4 linked regions of the Callithrix jacchus genome follow. The protein of the gene in region 2 interacts with the protein of the main gene of each other region in a pairwise test. Links are inferred from orthologs where the notes say so. Each region holds a gene or a part of one and is shown on either strand. Other genes may lie near its edges.

Region 1 (3,933 bases), on a different chromosome or scaffold from region 2:
GTCACAGAAGAACTGATGTACAGATCTAATGATGTAACAAATAAGTTAGCACTCCATAATCTGTCAAGTTATAAATGTTAAATATTGCTTTATTGTGAGCTCTTATACTCATGGAGGCTTTATGAATGAGGTAAACATGTTACAGTCGAGCCTTGATGATTTAGCAGGGGATTGGAAGAAATGTATTTCAGAAAGAAAAGCCACAGTGATGAGGCCAAACATGCCTTTTCTGAAGATAAGAAAGTAGTCTCTCAATCCACATGCAGGCACTTTAGCATTAGTACTTCCACTGTTACTAAGTATAGACTTTATTTACTCTGACATCTTAAAACAACCCTCCATCCCCACAACCTAACTGAACCATTAAGTGTAAAGTAAATTGCTAAGTCAGTGTGCTCCAAATTCCTTTAGTCCACCAATACATACCACAGCATCAAACCGGTTATGATAAAGTTCTGCCTGGCTCTGCTCAATGTATCGTTGTTTAGCATTAACAAAACCTGGTACTCCTCCATACACCATGCCAAAGACGCCTGCTGTCAATGCCGCCTTACAGATATCAGCAAGTTCTTTTGAAAGTTTCTGCTGTTCACTACAACATCAAAAAGACAATGTTGTTTGGAATTAATTTATGGACATTGCTCTCCAAAAACTCTATAATCAGAATTATCCCAAATGCTAACACTGCATTTTTCATCATAGGCAGAATCCACAGATGAATGAAACAGTTGAGTTATAGTAAAAGGAACATAAGTCTCAGGCAAAACTAAGCTATGCTGTTAGAATTAGGATAGTGGCAACTCCTGAAAAGACAATGACTGGAAAAGGCACAAGGGGAGCTTTTGGGATGTTATAACAGTTGCCATTTCTTCCTGAGTGCTGGGTATAGCTATGTTCGCTTTGTGAAAATTCATTCATCAGTATACTTATAAACATTTTTTCAAATGCATTTCCTACTCCAATAAAAAGTTTTTTTAAAGGTGTTTTTATTTGATGACTATTACACCTATATATTACCCCAATAAACGGGAAAAATTTGTGAGTTGGATAGAGAGACCAATATTTCCCTGTTTAAATTTTAAGCTAACTTTTAGAAATCACACCAACTGGTGACATTTTAGGGCAATGTATGAAAGAATAAAAACGTGGATGTAAGGCAAAAAATCTAAACTCTATATTACTAAATAATTTCATGAAATATTCTGATGGGGTATATTAATAAAAGCATTGGGCTGGGCACAGTGTCACATGCCTGTAGTCACAACTACTTAGGAGGCTTATGCAGGACTTGAGCCCAAGAGTTCAGGTCCAGCATAGCAACACAGCAAAGATCCTGGCTCTAAAAATATAAACAAATGCTTTTTAAAAGACGCACAGGAAAAGTTCACTATGCAGTGGGTGGCACATGCCAATCTAAAGTAACAAGGAAAAGCTACAATTTAATTCAATTTATTACTGTCAAATGCATAAGAAGCTAGAACTGCTAATGGAGCTTCCAAGATGTCATCCTGAAACTGATCTAACAAATAGCTGTCTGAAGTATTAAGTTACTATAAAATAATTGCCCTTCTAGGCCGGACGCAGTCCAGCTGCGATGGCTCACGCCTGTAATCCCAGCACTTCGGGAGGTGGAAGCAGGTAGATTATTTGAGGTCAGGAGTTCGAGTCCAGCGTGGCGAATGTGGTGAAGCCTGTCTCTACTAAAAATACAAAACTTAGCAGGGCGTGGTGGTGGGCACCTGCAATCCCAGCTACTAGGGAGGCTGAGGCAGGAGAATCGCTTGAACCCGGAGATGGAGGCTGCAGTGAGCTGAGATCGAGCCACTGCACTCCAGTCTGGGTGATAGAGACTTGATCTCAAAAAAATCAAAAATAAAAAAGGTACAAGTTTGGGCCGACTCGGTGGCTGACGCCTGTAATCCCAGCACTTTGGGAGGCCAAGGCTGGAGGATTACCTAAGCCCAAGAGTTCAAAACCAGTCTGGCCTACAAGGCACGAACCCTGTCTACAAAAAATATATTTTAAAAAGTTAGCCGGGCGTGGTGGCCCACGCCAGTAGTCCTGGTTACTCTGGAGGTTGGGGTGGGAGGTTCACTCGAGTCTGAGAGGCAAAGGTTGCAGTGAGCAGAGATCGCACCACAGCACTCCAACCTGGGCGACAGAGCAAGACCCTGTCTAAAAAAAAAAAAGAAAAAAAAAAAGACATAAGCTTGGGTTACAATGATCAGAACCCCAAATATAATTTTAAAATGAAACACACTATCCTTGGCGTCCTAAGGCTGACACAGGCTGCCAAGGCTTAAGGACATCGCTTTCGCGGTCCCCCACCCCACCTCAGGCCCTAGGCACTTTTACTCTTTGAGAAACAGCTCCCGGAGGCGGTCCCAGCCGGATTCCGGGTAATGGGGCTCTGGGACGAAGGCAGGCGGCCACTGACGCTCCTCAAGGGCCTCCGAATCAGCAGTCACAGGTTCGGCAGCAAAGACTCGGGGGAAAGGACCCAATGCTCTACAGAGGAAGCTCCGCGATGCCGGTGGCGGCACCTCCATGGCCTTCTCTCGACCTACAGACAGACACGGTGGCGGCACGTCCATGGCCTTCTCTCGACCTACAGTCACACGTGGGCGCTCAGGACTTCAAGTCCTCCCGGACTTGCCGTGGGAGAGCGTACAGTACAAGGTGAGAACCCGTGCATTTGGACAAGGCTAACCCTGGGCCGGACAACTCGACACACACGACTTCAGTCCCGGGCCTGACTTCGGAGTCCTTGTAAACATGAGAGAGGAAGTCCCGCCCGACCGGGGCAAAGGTCAGAGGGCACGGCGACGGCAAAACCGGAGCCCAAAACACTTCCGGTTGAGGGCGGGTAGTGCCCCTGCTGTGCTGAGTCCACCCCCGGAAGTGAGTTGGCTGCTGGAGGTGAAGCTCAGTGTGATCCGGCCAGGTCTTTGCTCCGTGTCTCAGTGGCTCCTGGGTCATACAAACGGAGTCTGCGGCTGGTTACGTTCAGCTCGAGGTGGTAACAGGTTAAAGTAATTTATCGTATTTAAAATGCCAGGAATCCCGCTTAAATGAGGAAGAAAGTGCAATATTCAAGTGCAAGTGGGGTACAGAAAGAGGGAAAGGCGATTTGTGCAAAAACAAGTCCAACCTACTCTGCCGACATTCGAGAAGCCTTCCACACTGGGCGGGGTCCGTTTGTACCTTGTCGGTTTTCTTTCCTAAAAAAACGAGCCATTGGAAATGGGTCTTGGTGCCAGTTACACCAAGATTTCGAGAACACTTTTTTGAAGAATCAGTTTTTTGGCAGGTCTTCATAAGGTAGATTTCACTCCCTTTAGTTCATATGTGTGTACTGCTTCTCAAAAGGCAGGAAAATTTCTGGAATTTCTATCAAGTATTTGATAGTCCAGCAATAATTTCCTGTCACTACCTCTGCAAACATATGCTTCGAAGTATAGTTTTCATTAAAATGAATGCATCTTAAATATTCTCAATATTTGTGTAATTTCATTTAATCCTTGTTAAGAAGCATACTCCCTTACTCACTGGCAATCCCGTCACCTCCTTTATTCCTTTCTAGTTGTAAATCATAATTGCCACACTGTAGTAGTAGTAGTAGTGTGGTAGTGTACAGTAAGTAGACTTACGGAGTTTGATAGCTGGAAATTCTACACATAAGTCCCCAAGAAGTGACTGACTAGAATGACCAGCTGAATTAGTGACAGCTCCATGAAAACTACTCTGGGAGACAAGATTTGATTCAGCACCCATCGTAGCACTTACTATACTGCATCATAATTTCCTATTTGTTAATCTGTCTCAATAAACTATCCTTGAGGTCAGATACCAAATATATTCATCTCTGTACCTCCAGGACCTAGAACCGTAGTAGGTGCTCAGTAAGTATTTGTCGAATGAATAATTCAGATC
Region 2 (4,304 bases):
CTGGGCAGCTTGATTTGGCTTCTGTCTTTGGACACAGGAAGCCAGATCAACATCTGACCTATTTTTATTCCCAGGAAATCTTTAAACCTGGAAGCCTTTTTTCTCAATCTTCCCTGGGGCCATCCAACAAATCATTTCAGCAATCAAGTCTCCCTCCCTTTCCCAGTAACTTCCAAACTTTTCTGTGGTAACAGTAAAAACCACCATTTTCTAAAATTTTATTAATTTTTCCTCACCAACCTGAATGTGGTGAAAAGCATTGGCTACAGAAAGATGGGATTTGTGATTCCCTAAAGCAGTCAGGTCTCCCTTCTCTCCAAAATAAATGCCTTTTTCAGTATCCTTTGCGACAATGTGGCCAGCATCTTTCTAGAACATTCAACATCCACAGTGAATGTAGCTTAAAGAATTGGCCACAGAACCGTGGGACTCACATTATTTCCTGGAGCAGTCAGTCCTCCCTCCCTCTCCAATCCTGTTGCCTTTTCCCAGCAGCCTTTGCAACAGCATATCAATTTTTCTAAAACTTTCCCTTACCCACAGTGAATGTAGCTAGCTAAAAGGATTGGCTACAGAACTGTGGAACTCACCTAATTCTCCAGAAGAGTCAGAATTCCCTCTCCCTCCAAAATGACTGTTTTTCTCAATATCATTTGCAGCAGTATAGCCACTATTTGTTCTAGAATATTTCTTCACCCATATTGAATGTAGCTTAAAAGCATTGGCTACAAAATTGTCAGATTCACTTCACTGGATTTCTTCCTTTCTTCCTTGCTTCTTCTCTCTCTCTCTCTCTCCCCCACCCCCTTCTTTCTTTTTACAGAGTCTCTCTCTGTTGCCCAGGCTGGAGTGCAGTAGCATGATTTTGGCTCATTGCAACCTCTGCCTCCTGAGTTCAAGCGATTCTCATGCCTCAGCCTCCTGAGTAGCTGGGATTACAGGCATGTGCCACCATGCCCAGCTAATTTTTTTATTTTTAATAGAGATGGGGGTTTCACCATACTGGCCAGACTGGTCTCGAACTCCTGGCCTCAAGTGATCTGCCCATCTCCTCCTCTCAGAGTGCTGGGATTACAGGCATGAGTCACCATGCCAGGCCACTTGACTGGATTTCTTAACAGCCAGAAAGGATAGGAGCCTCACCTGACTTATTGTGTGTATACACACACGTGTACCACACACATAATTTTAAATACAGGAAAGCATTATTTCACGCAATAGATTTACAAAGTAAAGTATTTATTTACTCCCTAAGCAATATTTGTTTCAAGAATTCCGAACTCCCAAGGTTGAACCTCTAGTATAGGAAAGGATGACCGTGACCTTTAACTGGACCTTCCTTTCCTCATTTGCCAGCTCGGAACACAGGAGCTTTCTCTTCCTCCCAAGTCAATGTCTAGCCCTGACTGACCTGGTGAGGCAAGAGCCCCTACAAACAGTACTCCCAATCCCAACCTGGCCACCTTATGCTGAGGACCCCATACAGTACCATTTTCTTGGGCCGGGTGGCAGTCATATTCCAAACTGGTTTGGCTTCAGCAGAGCCTGCAGCTTTTGATTCCACCTTCTGCCTCTTCTGGGGGACACTGAGGGACCGAGATCTATGATCCATCACTTCTAGAGAGAAGAACAGAGGCCTCAGGAGCACCCACAGAAGTTATACCAGGGCTTTTTGGACACGAAACACAGCATAAAAGAAGGCAGAGGCCACAGCCTTCTCGGGAATCACTCAACACCCGTTCAACACTATCCACCAGCTGATCCCAGGCCTCAGTTTGTTCATTTGTTCAAAAGTTAATCAAGCATTTCCTGATGGCTGAGCTCGAGACTAGGTTACTCTCTATTCACTTAGAAAGCAATGATCAAGAACAAGATTCCAGCTCTCAAAGAACTGACCATCTGTTTGTGTATAAGGGGGAATGACAGGTGTACAGCAGAAAGTAATCTATCCTCGCAAATGCAGACAGAGAGACACAGGCTCCATAAACGATCAAAACATGGTAACATAGTAGAAGGAAAGGGCTCCCTCTAAAAAGTAGGAGACAAAAACTGAAGCAGGGACCTGAAAGAAATAAAGGACCCAGCCCTGGGAAATTGAGGGAAAGCACATTCCAGACAGAAGAAACAGCAAATGCAAGGTCTTTGGGGAATAAGCACGCTTGCAGCATTGTAATAACAAACATAAATGCAGTGTGATCTTGGCCCTTTTGTGAGCTATAGAAATGATATTTTCTGTCTATATCATAGCATGAAATGTTTTGAGGAGGCTGATACTATCTTATAGACTGTGGAGTTTGGACTTTCCTCTGAAGGGCAGGGAAATGAATTAGAGCATTGGGAGAGAGAATTGATCTCTGATCTTGTAATTTGAGCTCTCTGAGTATTTTGCAACAGACATGGTGGTGGCTTGGACAAGTGGGAGACAGTAGGAAAAATGCTCCCTTTTCCCTACCTCCCTTATCATCAACCCACAAATCCTCGAAGCTCCCCAACACACACATGTGCAAACACTTCCTTGCACACATGCACCTTTTCCAACACACACATGCACAGGTATAGACACGTATCTACAGAGTTGGCTATAGCCAAGTGGTATTTTAGAGGATCCTCACCTGCTATCCCCAGGTGCTCTTGGTTTTGCCCTTGGCTTCCATGATTCAGTTCTTCAGCCAGGGATATTTCTACCTCCTCCCTGGTGCTGATAGGGCCTCCTGCCATCATAACCAGCTGTTCACTTGTAAGCAATGGCTAAAAATGTGCAGGGTGCCAGAAACAGAGGAGTCACACTCAGAAAATCGCCTCTTCCAGGGACAGGAGCTCAAGGAAGATATAGTAGGACCTGGGGGTGGAGTGACACTCCCTCTCTAGGCTGAGGCCTTGGACTGAGTACCTTCTGTTCCCATTGTATCTAATTGGTTGGGTCCATGGCGTTCTCCCCTGCAACTCTGTAAGCAGCTTAGAAGAGATACAACTCCAAGCTTTTGCCTGTGAGAACTGCTCTGGCTCATGGATCTCCAGATTTAGCTCATGGGGGATCCCATCATCATTTCTAGGCAGATGCAAGGATTGGCACAGGGTCCAAGAGCCACACAGTGGCCACAGCAGAGTTAGGTCCTAGCAATCCAGGCCATACCATGCCTTCAAAAGGGATTCTCTGGAGAGCATATCCTACCTCCCATATCCAGAGTCCCCAAACACAGGAGGCAGCCTTTTTCTGAAGTCGGTCAGCCTAGGCAGGAGCCATGAGAACCAAAGGAGGGAAGGGTGAAAGAGGTGTGACCTGACTGCAGCCACTAGAACCCCAAGGGCCTCAGGCCCTGCACCTTCTAAGTTCCAATTCTCCCTCAGCTTACCTACTGACTAGACCACTGTGATGGTCAGGTTTATGAGTCACCTGGGCCAGGCACTTGCCCCTGGTGATTCCATCAAACACCGTGTAGGTGTTGCTGATGAGGCAATTTGTAGCTGTGATTGGCATCTACAACCAGTGGACTTGAAATAAAGTAGAGACTCATCCTCGATGATGTGGGTGGGTCTCACGCAATCAACTGAGAGGCCTGAAGAGCAAAGACTGAGGTTTCCAGAGAAGAGGCATTTCAACCCCAAGACTGCAGGGTCAACTCTTGCCTGAGTCTCCTGCCTGCCGGCCTGTCCTGTACATTTCAGACTTGTGAGGCCCACAGTCACATAAGCCAATTTCTTAAAATAAATTTCTCTATATTTGTGCATATGTAGATACATACATACATACATACATACATACATACATACATACATATATCCTATCAGCTCTGTTTCTCTGAAAACCCTGATTGCTACAACCACCAATGCTGAACCCTTCATTTAGGAAACAACCCCAGAGCCCCTGGGGTAATAGGAGGCTATTTGTAAAAGGAATCCTTTATAAACCTGTCCTGGTTCCTTTTCCAAATAGCCTCCTCTTCCCCCAGAGTCCCTGGGCCAAGTGGGAGGAAGAGGTGGAAGAAAGGAGGAAAAGAGGGAGGGAGGAAGGGAGGAAGGGAGATAGGTAGAAAGGGAGGGAGGGAGGGAAACAGAGAAGAAGGGGCCAGGACTAGCTGAGATAGGGCTGCTTGGTCTGAGACTGACTGCCCCCTGCCCCCATCTCACCTGTCCAGTGCTGGGGCCGAGCTCTTGGGAAGCAGAGCTGATGTAGTCCCTGCCTGCATTCCTGGGGGCCCCAAAGAAGCCCTTCTCAGCTCCAGTGGAGCAGCTGCAATGAAATTTGAGCTTTCTGGAGGGCCACCTTGGAAGCAGAGAAACTGTGGAGGGTGCTCAGTTCAGTG
Region 3 (4,208 bases), on a different chromosome or scaffold from region 2:
TCTCGGGATGCTAAAGACAGGCAATTCCGGCACACCAGGATAAATGGGTCACCCCAGCCCTGGAGCTCAGGCTTCACTCGCTCTGCCCTGCGGTGTGAGGGCCAAGAGCAGGCACCAGCTGCATCCCCCGCAGCTCCTGATGTGTTAAAACGGCTCAGCACGCCACACAGTTTTGAAAAGACCAGAAGGAGACACAGCCCCGTGTTCACTGCAGCCCTCCCTATCATGCGGTGGTATCACATGATCACCACTCCCCACCAAACTTTTTCTGTTGTGGTAAAATACACGTCGCATCAAATTTACCATCTTCACCATTTCGGTGGTGGTAAGTCGGTTCCTACTGCGTGACCACCACACGTGATTTTTATACTTTCCAATGACTGGCAGGTATTACTTTGATCAGGGGAAAAAAAAAAAAAAAGCTGTTTTTGAAGGTGTTAATCAGCCTGTATCAGACACCTCTTGGTCCAGCAAAGGTAGTGAGCACCTCGTATCCACCTGTGTGAGCGGGGCTGGAGGCCGTGCAGTTGACTGAACATTGGTTGGCCCAGGTGACCTTTGTGTCCTTTCCAATCCTGACATTCCACGATTCCAGACTCTTCCCTGCCCCCGGGGGGAGCACTATGCTTTGGAGACAGGAAGGCCTGGGCTCAAATGCTCTTCTGCCACTTACATGCTCAGTGACCTTGGGCCAGGCACTTGGCCTCCCTGAACCTCAGTTTCCTCTAGTGTTGGGGAGCCAGCTGGGTGGCTGTGTGTGGTCCTGCACCCCATGGGTGCTCAGAGGGGCTGATCCTCCTCTTTCCCATCCTCGCCCCTGGATGTGCACATGTGTAAACCCTCATCCCACCAGCCCCAATCTGACACCACCTTCTCAATGGAGCTTGATTCCACAGCAGGGAGACGCCTCTCCTGGCTCTTGTGGCTTCTGCCTAGTGGCACCTGGCTTACTCCCCAGGGGGACTGTGGGCTCCCTGAGAACAAGGCCTGCTTCTGAGTCATGCTGCCTTCCCTTAGAGCCCAAAAGAGTCAATAAACTAAATGAAACCATCACTGGCAGAAATGACCCAAGCAGACAGAATGCCCACGCCCCCTCACAAAGCCAGTGGCTTCGCCCTTCCAGACCAGAGCCCCAGGGGTGGGCAGGAGCAGTGAACACACCTTGCCCACCTGATCTGGCAGGTGCCCCCCAGGGCTCCCACCTTTGTCAAGAGCCTGTCAGGGCATCTGGGGAGCAGGAGACTGGGACAGATAAATGAATTCAGAGCCACAAACACTTACAGATGTGCTGGGGTGCCAGGCTCTGTGCAGGCACTGGGGAAGGTGGTGTCAGGAATTGGGCTTTCCTGCCCACAAAGGGCTCCCATCTGACAGCATTTGAGAAGAAAAGGCTTCAAATGGGGTCATTCTTGGCAGGCTGGGGATACATACCCAAGCCATCCTACCAACCAGACCTTGAAAACCGAGGAAAGGAGGAAGCTTGAACATGCTGAGGTGGCAGCTGGCCTTGGATGTAGCCCCTGGGGTACCTGACAGTGCCCTGCCCAGCATTGCCAATCCAAGCCCTTCTAGTCTGAGCCCACCAGGAATGGGCCCTAGACCTGCAGAGGCCAGAACCTCGGGTGGGGGTATCTAGGTTACAGCCAGCCAACCCCAGGGAGCCCTGGGCACCCCCTCTCCAGACCCCAGCAGGCACGCTTTCCATGGGGTGCCACTCAAGGCACCTGAACTCCTCCCTCTGTGCTCACTGTCTCTGTCCAATCCCCCCCCACCAGTATGAACATGAGCCCCACTCAGCCCTTTGCACTGGGGACCCTGCCCCCCAGCTAGGCTGGAGGACACCCTGGCCTCTTCACTGTCAGAGGAGACCTTTCTCCCAGACACCTGCGGTGGGCATCCAGGTGTATGCTGAGTGGGAGGGGTGTTACGGGTTAATGAAATGTCAGAGCCCAAGGGGGGCCTCAAGAAGGCTCCTCCCACCTTGTCTATAAATTGGGAAACTGAGGCGTGATAGACGAGATGACACTCCCCACCTCGGAATTGAAGTCCTCATTTCTCGAGAACATTTCCTTGGTGGTTCCCAGACCAAGGTCACGCCGAGAAGGAGAGGCAGTTCCTGGGTGGAAGAGAGGCATCCGGCTCCCGACTCAGCTCCACACAGGCCGGGCTAGGCAACACGAACCCGGTTCCCTGCCCTCTCCTCCTCCAACGTCCATCGCAGGCGCGGCAGGCACCCCAGCGAGACGGTCTACGCCCTGATCCACCCACCCCAAAAGGCCACCTTAAACCCCGGCTCCGTCCCCTCGGTCTAGAGTCCGCCGCGGCGGCAGCACACAACCCGAGCCTCTAGCTGCACAGCCGCGGCCTGGAGGTCACAGCGATCCGGGCGGGAAGTGGGGCGCACGAACCGGGGACCCCAGGAAACCAGGGCTCCGGGAGCGGCAGAGGCGCCCTCCGCGAGCGCCAGGGCCTCCACCCGCCCGGAGCCCCCGCAGGAGGAGCGGCGGCAGCGGGCCCCAGGGGCAGGACAGCTCCTCGCCCGTTGCCGCGCCAACGCCAGGGGCCCGGTGGGGTCGGGGTCCGTCCGGGCGTGTCGCCCTTGCCCACACCTCCACCCCGGCCTGGCGGAGCCGCCGGCCGGTCCTTACCCAAGACACGACGCGCAAGATGGTGTGCGGCTGTCGGACCAGGGTGTAGGGGTCGAAGGCGCCCCCGGCTTTGCCAGCTCCGTACGCACCCCCTTCCATCGTGGCTGCACCCGCGCGGTGCCCCCCGCTCGGCGCGCGCCGCCGACCAATGCGCGTGCGCGGCGCCCCCGCCCCCTCCCCTGCGCGCGCGGCCGGCGGCCCAGGGCTCCCGCGAGGGGGCGTTGTGCGCGCCGGGCGCAGCTCTCGGGGCGCGGGCGGGGTGCAGGGCGGCGCGCGACCTCGGGCGCGGGGACGCGCGTGCTGCGGCCCGGGGCGGAGGGCGCGCTCTTCGCCAGTGCGGTGACCTCTTTGCAAAGTGTAGGGGGAGGGCGGTGCGTGTGCAGCAAGTGCGGGCCGTGTCCCTGCCCCTCATCCCCGGTCCCCTGTCTGGGATCCCCGGTCCCCTTTTCCCGGTCGCAGCCCCTCCAAGCCATCGGCTCTGCTGAAACCATCTTCATGCTTGATTTGTTTGACTGTTTCCTGTCGCTTTGACGGCCCCAAATATAATGAGAGGGCAGAAGCCGTGTTCGTCCTCCTTAGAGGGTGCTTGGTACACAGTATACGCCGCATGAATATTTCTCGAATGAATGAATGAACCACGAGTGAATGACCCTCTCTTAGAGCCCTCCAGAGCAGCCCCCACCTCTCAGGACTACCTTTCCCCGCGCTCTTACGATGACGTCATGTGTGTCCCTGTGCCTGCTCACCCTCCCACCCCCCAGCCTGGAGGGGCCTGGCACAGAGGCGGCAGCTGAGACTTCCTCTTCCCCATTACCTCCCACCCCAGGACGTTGTCCCTTTCCTGAATCCAGCAACTAATTACGCAGTCGTTTGTTTGTGGGCCCTTGCTCTGCTTGTCTGTGAGCTCTGAGCACCCAAGTGTTGTCTAATTTATTCAATTCCTTACCCAAGGGCCTGGCATACAGTAGGTGCTCATTAAATAGAGCCTAGTCTCCATCACCCATCACAGCTTGGGCTAGAGCTCCAGGTTTCATGGAAAGGCGGCTGGATGGAGGAGTGCTCCCTGCAGTGGAAGGGCCACCTTCCAGGGCTGGGTCTCCTGCTGCCCTGTACCTCTACAGCCTCTCTGTGTCTGTAGTTACCTGCACTGGTTCCAGGAGCAGGTTGGATGAGGTATGTGTGGAGGCTTTTGCTTCTCTGGTATCCTGCCATTCCGTGATGACAGCGCACAACTTCTGTGCGGAGGAAATGTGCGCTGGGCCTGAGGGTGCCCCTGATAAACATTACAAGGGCAAATGTCCATCTTAGGCTCAGTTGATTGCTTAGTCTTTACCAGGCCTTGTGCTAAGGGCTTTACATACATTTCTTTCTTTTCTTCTTTTTTTTTTGAGAAGGAGTTTCGCTCTTGTTGCTCAGGCTGGAGTGAAATGGCGTGATTTTGGCTCACTGCAACCTCTGTCTCCCACGTTTAAGCAATTCTCCTGCCTCAGCCTCCCAAGTAGCTGGGATTACAGGCACGTGCCATCACGCATGGCTAATTTTGTATTTTTAGTAGAGATG
Region 4 (4,217 bases), on a different chromosome or scaffold from region 2:
TTTTTTTTTTGAGATAGAGTATTGTTCTTGTCCTCCAGGCCGGAGTGTAATAGCACAATCTCGGCTCACCGCAACCTCTGCCTCCTGTGTTCAAGCAATTCTCCTGCCTTAGCCTCTGGAGTAGCTGGGATTACAAGCACCCGCCACCACACCCGGTTATTTTTGAATTTTTTTTAGTAGAGACGGGGTTTCGCCATATTGTTCAGGCTAGTCTCGAACCCCTGACCACAAGTGATCCTTCCGCCTTGGCCTCCCAGTGTGTTGGGATTACAGGTGTGAGCCACCATGTCCGGCCCAAGTCCCTTCTTTATATTCATTCATTTAACTTCCACAGCTCCTGTGCAATGGGTGCTTTCTTCTTCCAAGTTTTGGATGGAGAACTTTAGGCTCTAGAGGGCCACCTGGGCATTGGGAGTCCTTCAGCCCAGGCCCTTACCCGCCAACTCGGGGGTCCCAGCAGACTCACCCTGAACAGCAGCAGCGTTCCAGGCACCACTGCGCAGAACAGGAGGATAATCCCCTCGGCTGTGATGATGCGGTTCTTGGTGCCCTCCCCCATGTCCAGGAAGGGCCTGGGGGGCGGGTCTGCAAGGAGGTAGGAAGCTTAAAGCCCTGGCACATCTGCCCAACCTCTGCAAGGCCCCGGGCCCCCCGAAATCCCCACTCTGCAGAGGAGATCGTCAGTCCCTCGTCCGAGCCAGTTTGAAACCCACAAAGAAGGTACTGGGTATATCCCCTCCACACTTCAAAGATAAACTGAGTGTCCCCAGCGGGAGAGTGGGGGTAGGGGCCAGGGCCAGGCCACTCACGGCGCACGCGGAGGTAGGTGCCGCAGGACTGCTGGTATGGCTTGTTGCCCTCCTGGACACGGCACATGTATATGCCTCCGTGGCTCTTGTTCACGTTCTGGATGGTCAGCGTACCGTTGACACCCTGGCCCAGGCCGACGAACACCGGGGGCCACGTGTAGTTGCCGTGGAGGACACGCCACCAGGTGACGTTGGTGTTACTGCCATTGTGAAGGCACTGTAGGTGGGCCTCTTCCCCCAGGCTTGCCATCAACGATGTTGGGCCCTTGTGCACCCACAGGGCCTGGCACCCAGGGCCTGCGGAGAGGCAGGGTAGGTGGGTCAGGGACTGGGCATGGCGACACAGGCCCGCAGCCCTGCCCTTACAGCTCCAGCACTCCTGGGAGGGGTGGGGAGGAGGGTGAGGACACTCATGGGGGGAGGGGAGGAGGGCGAGGACTCTCCTGGGTCTGGAGGAGGAGGGAGAGCCCCTGAGAGGGGCTGATGCATCTTGGGGAGAGGCGGATGCAGGAGAGTGAAGATGCCCCTGGGAAAGGAGAGAGGACACAGGGGTTGGGGTGGGTGAGGACATCCTGGGGGAGGAGAATGAGACTCTCTGGGATAGTGAGACCCCTGGGAGGCCCTTGTCACCTCTGCAGTGCCATCTCCTGCCCCCCTCCTGCATACCCACTTTGTGCTCTGGCCTGAGAACTCACTGGCTTTTGGATGTTTGTTCTAGGAACTGGAGGCTGCGTCCAGACAGCTCTTTCCAGAAGCAGGCAGGCATCCCCTCCTCCCACAGCCTTCCCAGTCCATTTTCCCACCCCAGCCTCAGTGAGACTCTGCACCTGGTGCTTTTTCTTGGTAATCCTCACAGAACCCTAGCAGTAGGTTCTTTCCTTAACCCCACTTTACGGGAGGGATGACTGAGGCCCAGGGAGGGCAGGCGAGTTGCCAGCATCACCAGGCAATCAGGAGTGGCACTGGGTTCAAACTCCTGGCTCCCTGGCCTCTTCCTGCCTGGGCTGAGGAGCCTATCTGTGGCCTGCCCTGGCCTGTGACCCTGTGCCCGTCCCTCATTCTCTGTAACTTGTATGTTTCAACTTCAGGGTCAGGGGTGAGTTCAGTCCTTGGGCTGGGCTGGTGGTGAGTGAACGCCCTCAGCAGGGTGGAGGTTGTGGGTGTCTGAGTCGGGGTGGCTCAGGCTGACTGCAGCGTCCAATCCGGGGCTCCTCTGGGAAGCCCCAGATCTCAGCCAGGCCACCCACATGGCCGGCCTCTTCTTCTGGAAGCAGTCGGAGGAGGGAGGTGGGGAAAAGAGAAGGAAGAAGAGGTAGGGAGAGGGGCCAAGCACCCTCGTTGGCATGGGCTTAGGACTCAGGTGGGAACTCCAGTTACCCTGAGAAACCGAGAAACCTCTGAGCTCCTGGGGTAGCATGGCCACGCGCTGGCCTTGGGTGGGCAAGGGGGGTCCATGAGGCATCAGATCCCCCAGTGCTGAGAAGGGGCTCCCAACACAGGGTGGCGCCTGAGGTTTAAGGCAGAGAAAGGTTTTTCTCCCCTTGTCAGACACTGAACGCTGCTAGCCCCACTGCCCTTCCTGCCTGCAGCCCTGGTGCTCAGTCAAGAGCGGCTTTAGTTCCTTCTTTTACAGGAGGTGGGGGAGGTGACGCTTGCTCCTGCCTCCCTCCGTGGGGCTCTGGACCCCCATTTTCCTTCGCTGGGCTCTCTCCAGCCGCATCTTTGCCCAGCATGGAACAGACCCGATTTCTACAGGTGTCTTCCCTGGCTCTGTGCTCTCTGCCTCCTATTCCCCTCTCCTGAGCCCCCTTCCCGCTGCCTGTGCCCTCTCTGCAGCCTCCACGGCTTCCCCCTCCTCCCCCCAGTTCCTGCCCATTGGCCACATACCCAGGTAGGCAGCAGACAGCAGGAAGAGGAGGAATATGGAGGCAGGCAGAGCTTGGAGGACTCCGAGACCCCCAGGCATCTTCTCCCGGTCGATGCGTTAGTTTGAGCTGCAGCAGTCCTGGGGTACCAGCTCCCTACCCAAACCCCACCCTATTTCCTGCCCAGCCCCCCGGAGATGGGCTCTAGTGGTCCTCGCTGCTGGGTCCTTTGCTCGTTGGGCCTGGGGACAGCCCCTGCCGGGTATGCTTCAGGCCATGAGTAGAGAGGAAGTGCTCCCTGCACCTGCGGTGGCCACAATTCCCCTGAGAGGTGGCTGCCTGGGTAGGGGTAGAGGCTGGTTCAAGGGCTGGGTCATCACTGCTGAGCCTTTGGAAGGAAGCCTAGAGAGCCTGAGTCCTGGTCACGTGCTCTGGGCAGGTGAGGGTTCTGAGCTTGACCTCTGCCCCTGCCTGACCTTGGGCAAACCTTGTTCCTTCCCTGACGCCATTTCCTTGCTTCTTGGGATTAGAAACAATGACTTAAGGCTGGGCGCGGTGGCTCACGTCTGTAATCCCGGCACTTTGGGAGGTCGAGGCAGGCTGATCACGAGGTCAGGAGTTCAAGACCAGCCTGAACAATATGGTGAAACTCCCATCTCTACCAAAAAACACAAAAATTAGCTGGGCATGGTGGGTGCCTGTAATCCTAGCTACTCAGGAGGCTGAGGCAGGAGAATCACTTGAACTTGGGAGACTGAGGTTGCAGTGAGCTGAGATGGTGCCATTGCACTCCAGCCTGGGTAACAGAGCAAGACTCCATCTCAAAAAGAAAAAAAAAAGAAACAAGGACTTAAAGGGGTTGCTGGGTGCACAGAAATGGCACATAATAGGTGCTCAGTAAATGCTAGTCACTATAAATGCTCATGAAGAATCAGTAAGGCAGGCTGCCCCGTGGCTAACATGTGACAAGGTGGGCAGTTTGATCCTTCCAGCCTTGGCATTTTTTGTCTCTGAGATGGGGATCAGAATGTCTCCCTGTCTCATTATGTGATATGACATGGTGTTTGTTCCCGGTATTCAAGGAGTTAGACCCATGATCAGCTCATTACTGGAATTCTTTTTTTTGAGACCGAGTCTCGCTCTGTCACCAGGCTGGAGAGCAGTGGTGCAATCTCTGCTTATGGAAACCTCCGCCTCCTGGGTTCAAGCGATTCTCCTGCCTCAGTCTCCTGAGTAGCTGGGACTACAGGCCCGCACCACCACACCCAGCTAATATTTGTATTTTTAGTAGAGACAGGGTTTCACCATGTTGGCCAGGATGGTCTTGATCTTTTGACCTTGTGATCTGCCCACCTTTGCCTCCCAAAGTGCTGGGATTACAGGCGTGAGCCACTGTGCCTGGCAGAATTCTTTTTTTTTTTTTTTTTTTTTTTAGAAAAACAGGCTGGGTGCGGTGGCTCATGCCTGTAATCCCAGCACTTTGGGAGGTCGAGGCGGGAGAACCACCTGAGGTCAGGAGTTAGAGACCAGCCTGGCCAACATG

Evidence for each region. The genes of interacting proteins can lie anywhere in the genome.
Region 1: the proteins of FATE1 (region 2) and TIMMDC1 interact in binary tests that used the Homo sapiens proteins (3 or more experiments, as listed by UniProt). The two-hybrid records come from large-scale screens. The link is inferred for Callithrix jacchus from reciprocal best matches to the Homo sapiens genes FATE1 and TIMMDC1.
Region 3: the proteins of FATE1 (region 2) and SYNGR1 interact in binary tests that used the Homo sapiens proteins (3 or more experiments, as listed by UniProt). The two-hybrid records come from large-scale screens. The link is inferred for Callithrix jacchus from reciprocal best matches to the Homo sapiens genes FATE1 and SYNGR1.
Region 4: the proteins of FATE1 (region 2) and CD79A interact in binary tests that used the Homo sapiens proteins (3 or more experiments, as listed by UniProt). The two-hybrid records come from large-scale screens. The link is inferred for Callithrix jacchus from reciprocal best matches to the Homo sapiens genes FATE1 and CD79A.

What each region holds. Positions count from the first base shown.
Region 1 is NC_133516.1:83,304,063-83,307,995, forward strand, and holds the start of TIMMDC1 (complex I assembly factor TIMMDC1, mitochondrial), read right to left. Parts: upstream 2,801-3,933; 5' UTR 2,595-2,800; coding exon 2,356-2,594; intron 593-2,355; coding exon 427-592; intron 1-426.
Region 2 is NC_133524.1:148,013,279-148,017,582, reverse strand, and holds the start of FATE1 (fetal and adult testis-expressed transcript protein), read right to left. Parts: upstream 2,804-4,304; 5' UTR 2,722-2,803; coding exon 2,613-2,721; intron 1,618-2,612; coding exon 1,490-1,617; intron 1-1,489. UniProt on the Homo sapiens protein: Involved in the regulation of endoplasmic reticulum (ER)-mitochondria coupling. Negatively regulates the ER-mitochondria distance and Ca(2+) transfer from ER to mitochondria possibly implicating it in the regulation of apoptosis.
Region 3 is NC_133502.1:210,152,042-210,156,249, reverse strand, and holds the start of SYNGR1 (synaptogyrin-1), read right to left. Parts: upstream 2,801-4,208; 5' UTR 2,748-2,800; coding exon 2,649-2,747; intron 1-2,648. UniProt on the Homo sapiens protein: May play a role in regulated exocytosis. Modulates the localization of synaptophysin/SYP into synaptic-like microvesicles and may therefore play a role in synaptic-like microvesicle formation and/or maturation.
Region 4 is NC_133523.1:36,904,967-36,909,183, reverse strand, and holds the start of CD79A (B-cell antigen receptor complex-associated protein alpha chain), read right to left. Parts: upstream 2,801-4,217; 5' UTR 2,776-2,800; coding exon 2,697-2,775; intron 1,107-2,696; coding exon 810-1,106; intron 586-809; coding exon 467-585; intron 1-466. UniProt on the Homo sapiens protein: Required in cooperation with CD79B for initiation of the signal transduction cascade activated by binding of antigen to the B-cell antigen receptor complex (BCR) which leads to internalization of the complex, trafficking to late endosomes and antigen presentation.